Caenorhabditis elegans: one gene and its partner. The protein of the gene in region 2 purifies or fractionates together with the protein of the main gene of each other region. This does not show direct contact. Each region holds a gene or a part of one and is shown on either strand. Other genes may lie near its edges.

Region 1 (7,624 bases), on a different chromosome or scaffold from region 2:
ATTGAGCTCGTGATGCTGTCGAGAAACCATTTGAAGAGCGGTGATGAAGGTGAACGGAGCCCGCTGTGCTGGTTACTGTAGTCTTTCGAGACGACGATGATGGGCCAAGTGAGCCGTGTTGCATGCTGAGAAATTGAAGGATTTATGAAATTGGATGCACATAAAAAAGAAAATTTTAACGGTCTTCCTTGCAAAAGAACGATTGAAAGAATTTCTGATTTAGAAATTAATTTAAAACTTATAAGCAATTACGAAAATGTGGTGTTTCTTCAATTTCTCATAACAAAAGTTATTTTATTCAACTAGTGAAATGCAATTCAGTTGTTAAAATGAATAATCTCTTATCAAAAATTGTTGTATTTTTCCGGTAAAAAAACTATCAATCATACTTTCCCGTTTGAAAAAAAAATCAAAGAATATAAAACAAGAACTTGATCAAAAATCTAATTTTTTAAAATAGTTCGCTTAGAAATTTTTAGAAAATTCACAAGAAGCGGCTGGGAAGGCTTCAAGTAATATTGAAAGATATTACATTTTTTTAAACAAGATGTCTTATTTGCCTGGATATTTGTGAATTTTTCCAATTAATTTATAAATAAGTTTTAAAAATGTAGTTTCTATTAGAGGAATGAATAGGTTTTCAACAAGAAAATTGCGATTGGAGATTATGAAAGTTTTCTGCAAAATTGGCAAAAGAAGTTTCTATAACAATTACTATTTATCTATCAAAATTTTGAAAGCCGGCAAAAATGTGTTTTATGCTTTAATTCTTTGTGCTAAAGATTGGCTCAAATGTGCAAGGATAGTTGAAATATCTCAACTAATCACACTTTTCAAAATTTTGAAAATTTGCCAAAACCGTGACTGAAATTTTTTTTTTCATATTTGGTTTTTAAAAAATCGCGTATATTTTGACAAAAGCACCACAGCCCTTCAAAATTATTTCCTAAAAACTTATTTACCCTCAGTTTAATTCGAGCTCCAATAACCCAATCAACTCCCTATTCCTATATTTTCAGAAAAAAAAGTTTCCGGAAATTCTACAACTGCAAGAAAAAAGAATGACATTTCAAGAAAAAAGGAGCACAATAAAGTAAAAGTGTGAAATATAATACATATGACCTAATGACAGTATGATAACGTCATACTAGCCACGGCGAGGAGCACAATTCGATAACGGTGTGTGGAAAAATAATTCAGACTAAATTGGGAAATTTTCACAATTCCTTTTTGATAAAGAAAAATGCTCCTCGAGTTTTGTGCTTTTGGTGCTTCACACATAGAAAAGAGAATTGAATGAAAAGGGCTGGAAACTGGAAGAGAAAGAGAAAGAGCAAAAGAATATTGTTTCAACAAAATTCGAATCGCTTTGGTTGATTGAAGAGAAATGGACGATGTGAATGTGAAAAAGAAGAAGAGGAGCATTTCCAATATTTTTCAATTAAATCTTTATCGGATTTTCAATTTGTTCATTCCATTGGAATGAAGACGCTTCAATATTTGTATTTATTTACTTTGAAGACATTTATGATCATTTAAAAGTTTTCTATAACTATTCCAAAGTATTTGCTAATGAAAAACGAAAGCTGTGATACATTTTATTGTAACCCGATTTTTTAAAAATTATAGTATCATAGATAAACTTACCCAATTAAATTTACAAAAAAATTTTAGACATATAAGTGAAAAATTGTCAAGATTGATTTTTTAGAAAATTATTTTAAACTCTACATATGTATATGCAACAAAGTCACAGAAAAATTACATCACATATAAATCACAGAAAAAAAAGAAAACTTTTAGAGTCGTGTCAATTGTTTTGCATTTGCGGAAGAAGCCATACATTTATGAAAAAATTTCGGATCTTAACATTAATCCTAAAATAAAGTATTGTTATCAGACTTTCTAAATATAAATTTTTAAAAAACTCGAAACCATTTTCCTTGGAGATGTTAAAATTGACACCTAAAAGGAATGCTTATAAAAAACGACAAAAATATTCTGAATTCAGATGCAAATTTTCATTTTTTCACATACATAAAATGGGGGTGAATGGGTGTATAGAACATAGGTGAAATATGATAGATAAAAGAAAATGAAGAGGTTTTGAGAGACAAACAAAGCGGACCGGTTCGGGTTCGCCAACAACTTCGAGACAATCGCCTCAACAGTCCGAACACACTTTTTCTCTGGGTTTCCGCATTAAAAAAGTTTTACGCACTTTTGATTTGTAAATGTCAACTTACTAAACTAAAGTACAAATATTTATAAGTAAGATGCGAAAAGTTTCGGGAAAAAATTGTGGCAAAAATTGAGTTTCCAGCATCAGTGCATTTTTATACAAAACTTTTCTGGAAAATATTGCATGAGAAAAGATGACAAAGGAAGTTTGTATCGGGGGCACACCAGGCTAAAATGTACTGTTTCTAAATACTGAACGGCCAAATAATCGGCGAGATGACAATTCGCAGGAAACAACAGAGAAACCTCAAAGATCGGCAATTCTTATTTGAACTTTTGAGGAATTCGAAAATATTTGTTTATCACAAAAAAGGTTTACATTTCAAACTCAGCTTTAAATTCAAAATGCATTCACTTTAATGGAGATTTTTAATGCTTCAGGGTGTTTAGGGTTAGATTATCATCCGGAAGCCATTTCGAAAAATGTTATATGTTGAAAAAAATCTGCAAAATGTTCAACATGTTTTTTTCAAAAGGCATCAACTTTACAAAGAAAAAAATAGCTAGGTTACATTCGGAAGTTCAATTTAGAGCGGAAATACTTTCCTTGTGGATTTAAACCCTCTGAATTAGAAGTATCATTGTATTAACCATTTCCCACTAAAACACTAATTAGTCGTCTGTCTGGAACAAGGTGGTGGGAGAATAAAAACTGTCACATCATTCTATCGAGACACGTGGCAATGAGCAACCAATTGCCATGGGAAACAAGGTACCAGAATACAACACTATAATAGAGATAATAAATACTTTATTCTGCAGTCATTTAATCTTCAAAATCACTGAAAATCGGAAAATTCAATATAAATATTATGAATACTGAGGGAAAACAACAATTAAGGATTTATAAAACCTACCGGTAAGCTTAATAGCCCGTGACAATAAAACTAGATTTTGGTTGTGAGATGATAATGATATGATAAGTTGAAAAAGTCGATAACATTTTGAGGTTGATAAATTATTAATAAGAATATATACTTTTAACACTAAATTACAATTAAAGGAGATATATTTTTTAGAAAAGTTATTCCCATGGTCTGAACAGCTTACTCTTTCTTGAAGCTTTAGGATTGGAATTCGAGTTCTCATTTGGAGTGGATGGTGTTTCGATTGATGACGAAGAAGTATCGGATGATGGTGGTGGAGAATCCAGTGAATATGATGGAGACTGTTGAGATTTTGGACTTGTTGCCATTGGTGCCATTGGCATTGGGAAGAATGGGAATGGCCGGAATGGGAAGATTGGGAATGATGGTGGTGGAATTGGGATGGGCATGGATGGGAATCCAAAGAGTGGCTTTGGTGATAAGGAGAATTCGAAGAACTTTTCAAGGTCTGCGCATCGGACAACGAGGTGACGGTCGCTCTGAAAATATATTGATAACATTTAAAAAAATCTTCTCGAAGTTCCTGACAACTCACCTTGAAAAATTGGAAGGCAATGTTTTTTGCAGTCTTCTTTCCCTCTGCAATTGCATGTGCATAGAGTGACTGCTCCTGGTCGCTTCGACTAACAAAATTGTGCTTCTTGTTTTGAATGTAGGCAATTATGATATCCAGGGTGTTCAAGCGTTGCATTTTTTCGCTGAAAAAAGGAAAAGTTTAATTTATGGTATTGGGAAAATTTAAGCTTACACTTGATGAGATGTCATGAGCTTGTTCTCAATGATAAAGTTCTTCAAAGCATCAAAAGCTTCTCCCTGACGATCTCTTCTATCTTGCTCTCTATTCTTTTTCACTTCCTTTCTATCAATTGTGATTCCAGATTCCGATGTCGATGGAGAGCTTGACTGGGATCTATAGCTCATTGAAGAGTGGAGAATTTCCGACTCAGATCTTCTCTTTGATTTTCCAGATACAGTGCTCAGCAAAGATGAACGTTCTCGATCGAAAAACTGCTTGGCACGTTGCACAAAATCCTGACAGACATCTGAATTGACGCCCAGGGATTTGATGAAGGAATAAGTGAGCGACTCGATTGATCGGAATCCGTCAAAGAATCCTTTGCGATTTGGATTTGATGATGGTCCAGGTGATTCGGTTTCCATGCGACTGACCACTTCGACTGCACGGTTTAAGACATCACCTTGGCTGAAAATTAGTAAGATTTGAATGAAGATAACACTAAACGAATAGAAAACTCACGTCATTTTCTCATTATCCGATTCATTTTGAATCAATAGTTGAAGCTCCTTGATCTTTGCATTAATCTCATCTCGTCGTTTCTTCTCCTGTGATGTTTTTCTGTTATGAGCGTAAGCTGGTGGTGGGGTACTGATGAGGACCATTTCTGGAAAAAAAATTAAGTTTTTATTGATTTTTATAGCTCGATTTGTAAATGAACAAAATCAAGAAGGGAGAAATGTTGCGGAATTTGAGAAATATAGAGAAAGAGAAGGAGATATAGAGAAAAGTCATAAACCATTCGGAAGAGGGAGCGTGGCGATTTACAGTACCCCTCACTTCTACAGCACGCCTTCTTTTTCTAGATTAGAATCTTATTCGTAGAAATTTAATTGCCTTAAACCCTAAAAACCCACTTTTTGTGTCGTTTCGCCAAAAAAAATTATATCCCAATGGTTCCCATCACTATCAACCACAAAAGACGTGCCGAGTTATCAGTGTGGGAATCATTTGATAAGTGTGCATGGGAAAAAAGCACTTGAGTCATGACACAGTTTCCCACAACTCTTGACCATATTGGTTTGATAACCCCTGGTGAGAGGCGACACTGTGAAGAGCCGGGCGGATGCTCAGGCGGTACTAATCCTTTAATGGAGAGCTAGGGGTCCGACAAGGTGAGAAAAGGAAGTGAAACGGCAGACCGGAAGAACATGAAAGAAGTTGGTAAACAAGAGGGATCTACAGGCAGTAAAATGCATGGGGAGGTGTTAGAGTTTCAGATGTACTGTACTTGAGGTGAAAATTTGGAAGACTGATAGTGAGGTGAGACATAGAGAATTCGGGGGAAGAATGTTAAAATGAAGTGAGAATTGGTTAATTTAAGGAAAACTAGAAATTGGAAGCGCTACAGTAGCAATACTATTTCTGGTGAGGTAGAACTATGTTGCTACTGTAGCTGAAACTCTTAACCATAGCTATAGACTACTGTAGATTTGCTACTGTAAGACTCTAAAGAATTTAGGGCAAAAAATAATTAGGAATGTATACTAAATACACTTCTCAAAATCTCAAAACAGCTAAAGTAAATACTGGAACTAAAAAACAAACAAAAAAATGAGAAGAAGATGTATGAATGAAAGTAAATTCTGATAGCCCCCACTTGTTGACTAATTGCAACCGGACGCGTCTAGAGGCGGGGACCGTCTCGTTGGATGTGCATAGGCCACGCCTCCTTTGGCTGGCAGGCAACCATGGGAAAGGTGCAGGGAGAGAGGGGTATAACGGAAGTGGTGGGAATATAGGGGCACGTGAAGATGAGAGAACTAGTGAGACTGTGGGAAGATATAGGTTAGAGAGTTGAATTTTGATAGATGATAATGATATGAGTTCTTTTAAATTTGAATACGTTGGCAATTATTGGAAGACAAAAATAGGTACTTGCGTAGTGAATGTACCCTAAAAATTTCCTACATTAAAAAAAAATATTCAAGGTTGCATCGACAAACATTTTATACTTACGATCTACAAACTCAACGTAACAAAGTTGGTTTCATTTAAGTTCTAGGAGATCAACTTTTACAGAGATCAAAATAGTAGAATGTTTTGTTTTCTACGGTAGGGCCTGCGCACGCTCTATGACATGGTTAGAACTTTATTCAAGTCTGTAAGGCTTGTTTTTTCAGAACACAACTGTCTATTTGGCATTTACCGCCAATTTATTTCTCGTCTTAAACAAGCCTAATACAACTCAGGTTTAAAATTACAGAAAATACGTTTTCTGGAATTTTCCAACTTTTCAACCAATTATATGTGTATGTTTTAGGCGAAAGTTAGAAAACACCGAGTATGAAACAAATAAGGAACATAATGGATTTCAATGTTATTTTTATCTTCAATATCGTTTTCATAGATCCCATCTAAACCTGACACTCCATGACCTTCCACAACTGTGAGAATATTGCAGATTTCCCATTGCGCGCTAATTTGGTACATACACCGTTCCCAGCCATCTGACACGCGTGGTCCTGAGAATTTCAACATTATTTCTATGTACTTATATTTTCAATTTCCCTCCTATAAAATACCATATTGTTGTTATATTTACACTAGGTTCTCACGACAATTAGCAAGGTTTTTTCGGTATTATATTTTGACACTGTGGTGCGAAATTGAGACCGACTTCCGGCTGTGATTCTGGAGATGGGGGACCCTGGGAAATTTTTGGTATATTTCAAATCTAGAAATATTCAAATAATCTGGAATATCTACGTGCATTCTGGTAAACAATATCATAAACGGCGTGCTGGAGACTTTTATGATAGTCTGTAAACATCTGAATGCATATGGAGGTGCACAAGGTGGAGATGCACTATATCATCATGAGTTGTAAACATTTGGGTATACCTTCTAGGTATACCGATTTTATGGTATGCATGTTTATGATTTGCATGATGACCCAGTTTTTCTAGATCTAGAACAACAACAAGAATCAATGATTACATTTGAATATGAAAAAAAGTGAGATGTAACGAATTTTTTAGATGTTTAAATAAAACCAGTTTACTTACATTGTTGAGTAATTCTTGCATTTTCTACACGTAGAAACGGGGATTTCAAGTAAAACTACATTTTCAGACAAACATTCTTTAGCTCATTGTAAATTGCTAACAGAGCCAAAAAGCAGATTAGAACATCCAGTTAACTTACTGTATTTCCTCTACCAGTATTGCAACCCATTGTTCAACTATACAAAATTGTCCCTACCAAAATATTTGTTATTTCTTTTTCTACCTTTTCAAAGTAAAATAATGGGGTGCAGTACTAATAGAGGAAATACGGTAACTACTATTTGGAGTGCATATAAAACTTCAAGATTTGGGATATTTTTTGGTTAGAATTGCCCCATTCGAAAGGTTGCTTGGAAAACTCTACGCACTTCAAATTCACAAAAATAAACTTTTATCTAAGTACAGTATCTAGTACAGTAATCTTCAAAACTACAGTAATCCAGACAATTTTTCACACTCTACATCTTGTACCATCAGTACATGTTCTTACTATAATTGTACAAGTAATCTCGTCGGCATCTTTAGATATGCATGTCCCTTCTAAATTGTAATGTGGGAACATTGCACCATCTTGAGTCAAGTACCTAAATGAGCATGCTGGGCTCATGGGAAATTCTTGTTCCGGTGAATATTGTACTTTATCTGATCTTGATATCAGAGTAAATAATTATGGTTTATGCAAGGGTAGAATC
Region 2 (7,708 bases):
TAGTCCTTGAACTGTGAATCCGAGAAGATCATTTGATTGGAGAAAAACGTCGACAATAAATGTGTCCCTCATATGGCTAGATGTTGGCAGTTTTGAGAGAGCAACTGCAATATCCATGGCTCCACGCGCTGAACGAGAAGCTCTATGACGAGCGAATCGCTCCTGTTTCAGCACGTTGTGTGATACACCAGCGTATTGTGCAAAGCACTCGCTGAAAATCAATAAATATAATAATATTGTGCATTTTAAAATATCCTTACTCATTGTGGTGTCGTGCATGAGAAGATCCACGCAAATGTTCGATTGTCAACGAGAATGTTGAAGCATCAGCGTCGTACGCATTGTGGAGATTTCTTCTAGTTCTCTGGCCATCCGGTCCATCGTAGAAATCAAAGTATGAAGTCACAAATTGCTCGACAAGAACTCGGATCTGTGGATTTGGGTAATATCCAGCCTAAAAATATTAGAATAACGAAGGTTCTAGGGAGATTTAAATCCGCAGGAACTTACTCTGAATGGCATTGCGTCATGAATATCGAGATCCGGTCCAACAACCAGCGGCTGCACTTCGACTCCGTCCTGAAAGTAGTTTCATTCCGAGATGCGAACTTGGCTCAATGTTAAATAACTTACCAGCATGTTGCATCGCGGGAATGATTGATGAATATAGCTGAAGTGGTAGGTTTGGGGTTAATGAACATAATAAAATAGGGAACAAGGAGGAAAACACAATGAAATTTAAATAAAAAATCTGAAAATCATTCAGATAATGTAACCTGATATATGCTGCCCTCTGTGTGAATGACTCGACGACTGGGTTTCCTTCAAAGAAGAATCTTTCGACTGGCAATCCGGCGAATTTCTCTAACTCCTTTTCAGTGGAAATCTGTAAATCAAAAGTTGAATAAAAAATAGCTAGATCTATTGAACTAACGTGGTTGTGACTCAAATCCAACTCCATAACGAACTTAGCGATTGACACGAGAGCTGAAGCGTAGTCCAAATGACGGATGCGATTGTTCTGAAATGATAAAAATTACTTTTATAGAGAATATTAAGAGCATGACTCACTGATAACGACAAAGCCACAATGTTTCCGTACTTATCATCAATGTGATCGAGAACTGTGAGCATGACATTTCCTTTCGTCAAATTCATCATCATATCCTTTGCCTTGAACTCTTCGTCTTCGTGGAAGTTTGATAAATCCAATACTCGATTCTCGGCGTTGTGACGTTTGTCGACTACTCTCTGAAAAATGTTTGTAATGATTACCTGACAAATAAATTTTGAGGCTTACATGAATGATCTCAATTTCCTCTCGTTTCAGTTTCATCCATGGGGCTGGAACTTTGGAAGTGTAAAACTCAACGCGTGTGCCACTTTCTTTGTGGACAACACGACGATTATTGGCTCGGATAGTTGAAGCAGTGTCCTCGTCGCGGACGTACCATTCAAAGTCTCCACGGGCGTTATCAGTCCAGAGAAGTGGCTTGAAATTTTCGATTATTTGATTAAGCTGCTTGATCAGCCACTTGGCATCAACTTTCTTGGCAGCTCCAGTAGCACGGCACTTGTAGACGATGTCAGCATTACGAACTCCAGTGTTGGCGATGGATGCAGCCGATTGTCCGAAACCGCGTGATGATCCTCCACGACCACGGCTACTGGCAGAAGTAAGGCTTGCACGAACTGAAACAAAAATAAGTTGGCAAGGATATGAATAAATCTAAGCGTTACCTGGAACGGCAGGCTCGTCGTCGTCTTCATATCTGCTTTGAGTGTCTGGGTCAAGTCGAGCAAAACGATTCTTTGTACGTGACAATTGCTTCGCGTCACGATGCCCTCCAAACCCTTTGCGATTCATATCTGAAAGATTTGTATTTCATCGAGGGAAAACTGGTATCGAAAAATTAAATTAAAGGTGTAGGTGAAACACAAATAAATATGATATTCAAGAGAAAGCAATATTGAACATGAAAAGTTATAATAGACAAGGAAAAGTTAAATTTTTACTCATTTCGAAAGTGTTGCGAAACTGGGACGGCTGCCTCATTCCAGCCGGGAGATAATTTAGTTTTGCGGAAATCAGAAAACTCAATGAATCAGATTTTAAAACTATAATTTCACATTTGGAACACTAAGCAAAGAACGGCAATTCGAAAATTGGTGAAACTGAATCATATTTATGCAAAAAAAAATCTCGTGACTTTTATCGGTTGTGCAAACACCGTTACGCAAAAATGCAGACGAGCCCCCAATTTGACGACATAAACAAGAATAAAAAATGTTTTAGGCAAACATGTTTCATGCGAGTCAGAAAATGACGTGAATTCTCGGTTAGAATGATAGTAACACTTAAGAGGCATGATAAAAATCGATCATGCAAAATATTAATCGTTGAACAGTGATTTTCAATTTCGCCGACTACAGTAACCGCAAAAAGATACTACTGTAATATATGAGTAAATTTTCAATATTTCACTGTCACCTGTCAACAAAATATACATATTTCTGCAAATTCAGTGGCTATATAGATAGCAGTAAAAATACGAGAAAACGTTTTGTTCCCCGTAATTTTTGTTTGCTCACCACTCTTTTCCCATCTTCGCAGCCAACAATTTCCAAAACATCCGTCTCTCTCCATTGTTCTTACAACTAAAAGAATATGAAGAAGTACACCCCTGATTCGCGTCTTGACAATATTGCGCCTATTCCGACGCGTTTTGAACGTCGGAAGATGTTGCCAGACATCGGAACTTCAGCCGAATTCACATTCTCCCGTGTTCCCGTATTTCCCGGTTTGAGGAAACCGGGGTAGGTATTTCCACGAAAAGTCTCTTGAAAATGGAATTGTTTCAGAAAAAGAATCATCGCGATCTACCTAGCGAGTGCTTCAATTGGATTCGCAGCTGCTTGGTTTGGTGCTGCCACTTTTGATCAGGTCAATTTGAAAATTGATAGCTACAAAGACCGATTAGACATTGTTCCATACAAATAATTTTTAAAAATGAAGATTAACAAATAACTGTAAAATGTTGAGACAAAAAAAAACATGCTAGGTGTTGGTAACAAGATATGATCCGAAACTAGACATAAAAATACAAATAGGATGCCGTTTAAATGTATGAAAATATATAATTTTCACTGGTCAATGTCCGTTGCTGTCTCCACTAGCATGCGGTACTGATCGCCGCGTCTTTTTGACATCGAGCTAATGAACAGCTGATCGGAAACAATGGCGACTTTTCCTTCGCCTCTTGGAGCAACCATGAATGTTCTCGTAAAATAATTATCATGTTCCTCAGTGTTCTCGGGCTTTATCGCAGATGGTCCGTCACGAAATGTTCCATGTAATGTGAATCCGAGAAGTGTTGCCGAAACAAGGAACACGTCAACTACGAATGTATCCATCAGATGAATTGTGGCAGGAAGTCTCGAAAGTGCAACTACGATATCCATTGCACCGTGTGATATTCTGGAGGCCCGATTTGCGGCAAAATATTCCTGATTCAGAACATTGTGCGAAGTTCTCAGGTACATTCGATAGCTCTCACTTGAAATATAAATAATTATTAAAACCTTAAGACTTCAGACGGTACCTGTCCGGATACATGACAAATTTAATTGGGTCCCACAAGCAGACAACTGTATGCGTGAATGTTGACTGAAAAATATATGTTTATATTTACTACTGAAAAAATGCAAGAATCAGCACGTTATTTGTGTCGTACGCATCCAGAAGTTGCTTCCTTGTCTGCTGTCCATCTGCGCCATCGTAGATTTTGTAATATGTGATGATAAATTCTTCGACAAGAGTACGAACTTCATCACTGCCATAGTATCCATTCTAAAATAATTAGATGATTCGGGAATGTAGAAATATACTGTATCACCCTGAATGGAATTATCTGCTCGATTCTATTGTGATCTGGTTTTGGTTCGACTTCCATTCCATCCTACAATTTAGATAGAAATTGAAATAATTGTTAGGATATTCGTGAATTACCAAATTTGAACATTTTGGGAATGTCTTTTGAATAAAGTTGGCATACTCGGCACATTGCACAAACTTCTCGCAGACTGGATTTCCCTCGAAAAACACAGTTTCTACTGGAATCGTTCCTAACTTCTTCAATTCTTCTCCTGACGAAATCTTAGAAAAAAAAGTTATGAAATTTAAGAATACAAAAACTTTTAAAACCTGATTATGACTCAAGTCGAGGAATTTTAGAAACTTGGATATGCTCGAGAGAGAGGAGAGATGGTCCAAGTGACAGAGCCGATTATTCTGAAAATTACATGGAATTAATTATTTTTTCACAAATTAATCTAAACCGAGAATGAGATTCCGGAAATGCGAGGATATTTGTACCCAATATGCTGTAGAACTACCGACATCACTCTTGTCTTCGTGAGGCACATCAACATGTCCCTTTCGACAAATTCTGTGTTTTTTGAAAAGTTCGACAGGTTAAGAACATCGTCAGTCGCAACATAACACCCATCCACGACATCTTGGACAACCTTGATTTCAGCTGGCCTCAAGTTTGTGACATGTGTCTGGCGTGGTGAAGAATGCGATGAATGGGATGAAAGGCTGAGCCGTCCTTCGATATTCCGATAGCCTCGCCGATTTTGTCCACGCATAATCTTAAAAAGTGAGCATTTAGTTTGAAAAATTGAAGTCGATTTGAAGACAAGAAAATCACTTCGTAAATCTACAGCTACCGTAGTCGCAAGGTGTGTCAATCCATGCGAGACCTCCTCATCCTTTGCAGAAATCATCTAAATTTTTTAATTTAGCCCAAATATTTATTTTTTATTTTTTAGCTAAAAAATCAATCCTCAATTTTTTTGCGAAAAAATAGGTATGTTTAAATCGAAAAAAAAAAGCAAATAAACCGGTAAACGAACTTTCAGGCTGCAGTGCAGAAAAAAGCACCACGAATGACTACGAAGGATATTAAAAAGAAAGCAAAATCGCGAAAGTCCAAGAATGCGATCAAAAAGAATGCATCCAAGTCAAGGAAATGTGACAAAATCTCCACCCAAAATACCGGCAAGGTGGACACCGAATTTTATGAAGTTCAAGATATCGTTCGCTCGGTGTGTTTCTTATAGGGTTATTCAAGTAATGTTGTGAAATTTAAAATTGTATTCAAATACATTTTGATTTGTTCGTGTAACTCAAAAGGTAGTTGCCAAGAAAATTGTTTTCAAACCACCATAATTACAATATCTCAGAGAATCGAAGGACGGGAGATTCAATATACAGTCAAGTGGACGAACTGGAATGGTGGTGACACGGAAGAAGCTGAACGACGACTTGTGTGCACCGAGAAGCTTATGGGGTATGCTGCAAGGACATTGAAATCTTCATACGTAACGAATCTTGACTTTTTCCTCCGAAATCTGGATACCGCGCTTAGTGACTTAGTATTTTTCACGAACACTTTGATACCTTTATCAATCGTAGCGGAAGCCACTGTTTTCGGATCTTCGGTCAAGTTTGTCACGAGAGACAACATCGGAGCAAAGATTATGTATTTGAAAGTGAGTATTTTCTATTTACCCGTACTGGTTTAAAATCGAATTTTCAGTACATCAAAGAGCATAACCAGATGCATCTTCTACACTCCTTCCTCGTTCCACAAATTGATAGAGTCAACAGCAGTCATATTCAGTATGACAAGGAGATGAAATATCAGAGACAGATTTTCGAAGATTATCCTTTCGTCAAGATCTTCTACCCAACTAAGAAGCAATCAGTCCTCTTCCCTCCGCCTCCATTGCCAAACATCTTGTTTGAACCAGTTACAGAAGAAATGTATAAGAATCGTGAAAATTTTCCTCACTTTTTCCCTCGGAAGGGTATAAAAGCTGGATTCAACAATGTGAGCATTTATTATGTTTCTTCTGTTTCTTAAATTCACAAATTTCAGGTTCGGCCATTCATCGACCGGTTGTATTTTGCCAAAGACGAATCACAACAGCCAAAATATCTGAAGGAGGTTGATGAGAATAAGTACGAGGGAATGCGAAGAATCAACAAGGCGTATGTGTTTTGAAAAGTGTTTCAGATTTTAATTATTTTTATTTAGAGTGAACTCGAGATTCTCCATACCACTTGAAATGAGACAGGAACCCGGATCGGGCTGGTACATATTATCAGCTATGTACAGTCTCCCCAATGTTCCTCTGATGGTCATGACTGGAGTGGTAATTTTAAAAACTGTAATTGTAATTGTATAATATTTCATCTCAGATTCGACCAGCCGAAGTTGCTCGAGAATCTTTGCGAACTGAAGGAAAAGAGGTTGCATTCAGTTCTTTCGTCGAAATTCCAGGAACAGATTTGTGCCTCGATCGTCGAGAGTTCTATGACTTCTCAAAATTCATTCCCCACAGCGTGAGTTTTATTCAATTAACTATTCTAATAACTTGATGATATCCAGTGTAATCCAACATGCAATGTTCGTTTGGTTGAATCAGGAAACGACATTCCTGATCTCGTGATTTACTCACGTTTTCCCCTCGACGAAGGCAATGGATATGTGATCACCCTTGATTATTTCAAGGCTTTCAAAAAAGAGGTTGAGGAATACTTCTCAAAGGTTGTTGCTCCAGGTACGTTCTTGATAATTAGTTTTCCTAGATAAATGTCCTCATTCAGACGGCAAACTCTTCCATCTCCTCGAGAAGGATATCGACTTCGTGCAGTGCAAATGTGAGCACAAGTGCCGAGAGATTGTATATATCGACCAGTCAGCGAAGAAGAAGTCCGAGAAGGAGAAACTGACGTCGACGTTCAATGGCATGTCTCTGGTAGAGTCACCAAAAATCTGGAAGATAAAAAATGGTAATTTCCTCGAGTGAAACTCGCTGTAAAATGTTTTCAACTAGTTTTGTTTTTCGTTTTGTTATGTATTACATATTTATTCATTCAATGAAATTTTAATTTTAAATACTTGAATATAAAGCCTTTGTTAAAGTTTACAATGGGATTGATATGAATTCTTAATAGAGAAATTATTGTAGCTGCGCTGGCACATTACTTGGCGAGGCCAGTACATTCCAAGCTATAATTGTACAAATCCTGACAGGCCTGATCATCCAAGGCTAGTGGGTTTTCTTGGGTCAACTTGCAATCGGCAAAGTATTTTCCACTGATTCCACCGATCTTTTTGCCCAATGCAAGGAAGATTGAAGTTTGAGCTCCGTCGCGGCTGGTTTTCATGAGGAACCAACTGAAATTAATTTTATTTATTTTAAGGTTAAGTGTGGAAATTTGGCTTGGCTTACCGGAAAACAGCTGTAATCTGCTTGATTCCTGGTGTATTCAAAATGGTATTTCTCGCGAGCTCGGTATTAACAACTCCTGGGTGCAGGGAGTTAACAGTCACGTGTTCGGCTCCGTCCTTTCTCAATTCCTTAGTCAAGGCTCTTGCGTGCATAACATTTGCCAACTTGCTCTGTCTGTACGATTTCATCATTCCAAACGATTTCTTGTCATCTACAGTAGCCAAATTAATTTTCTCGGATTTCAAATGAATACGAGATGAAACATTGATGATTCGAGCGTAGGAAGACTTCTTAACAGCTGGCAGAAAAAGTTCGGTGAGCAGAAATGGTCCCAAATGGTTGCTCTGCCAAGTTTTCTCATGACCATCCTTGGTTTGCTCGTGTTTGCTTTGAAACATGATTC

Evidence for each region. Proteins that work in one complex are often made in the same cells at the same time.
Region 1: the proteins of nxf-2 (region 2) and ref-1 purify together in Caenorhabditis elegans (affinity purification with western blotting; one study listed by BioGRID). This does not show direct contact.

What each region holds. Positions count from the first base shown.
Region 1 is NC_003280.10:10,215,378-10,223,001, reverse strand, and holds ref-1 (Regulator of fusion ref-1), read right to left. Parts: upstream 4,532-7,624; 5' UTR 4,530-4,531; coding exon 4,387-4,529; intron 4,333-4,386; coding exon 3,877-4,332; intron 3,827-3,876; coding exon 3,664-3,826; intron 3,608-3,663; coding exon 3,266-3,607; 3' UTR 2,976-3,265; downstream 1-2,975. Other genes in the region: 1-phosphatidylinositol 4,5-bisphosphate phosphodiesterase gamma plc-3, read right to left, coding at 1-124. UniProt on the Caenorhabditis elegans protein: Probable transcription factor. Binds 5'-TGCCACGTGTCCA-3' in vitro, probably via the E-box motif 5'-CA[TC][AG]TG-3'.
Region 2 is NC_003283.11:14,413,146-14,420,853, forward strand, and holds nxf-2 (Nuclear RNA export factor 2), read right to left. Parts: upstream 4,691-7,708; 5' UTR 4,651-4,690; coding exon 4,339-4,650; intron 4,292-4,338; coding exon 4,205-4,291; intron 4,157-4,204; coding exon 4,010-4,156; intron 3,960-4,009; coding exon 3,897-3,959; intron 3,851-3,896; coding exon 3,719-3,850; intron 3,668-3,718; coding exon 3,603-3,667; intron 3,557-3,602; coding exon 3,145-3,556; 3' UTR 3,002-3,144; downstream 1-3,001. Other genes in the region: nxf-1 (Nuclear RNA export factor 1), read right to left, coding at 1-211, 261-454, 511-579, 634-670, 777-886, 935-1,021, 1,072-1,251, 1,301-1,692 and 1 more; C15H11.11 (Cytochrome b-c1 complex subunit 10), read left to right, coding at 2,669-2,817, 2,863-3,001; set-31 (SET domain-containing protein), read left to right, coding at 4,951-5,109, 5,248-5,556, 5,604-5,897, 5,946-6,058, 6,105-6,222, 6,269-6,412, 6,459-6,630, 6,677-6,879; dhs-22 (DeHydrogenases, Short chain), read right to left, coding at 7,055-7,250, 7,306-7,708. UniProt on the Caenorhabditis elegans protein: Involved in the export of cellular mRNA to the cytoplasm. Plays a role in the nuclear retention of unspliced mRNAs.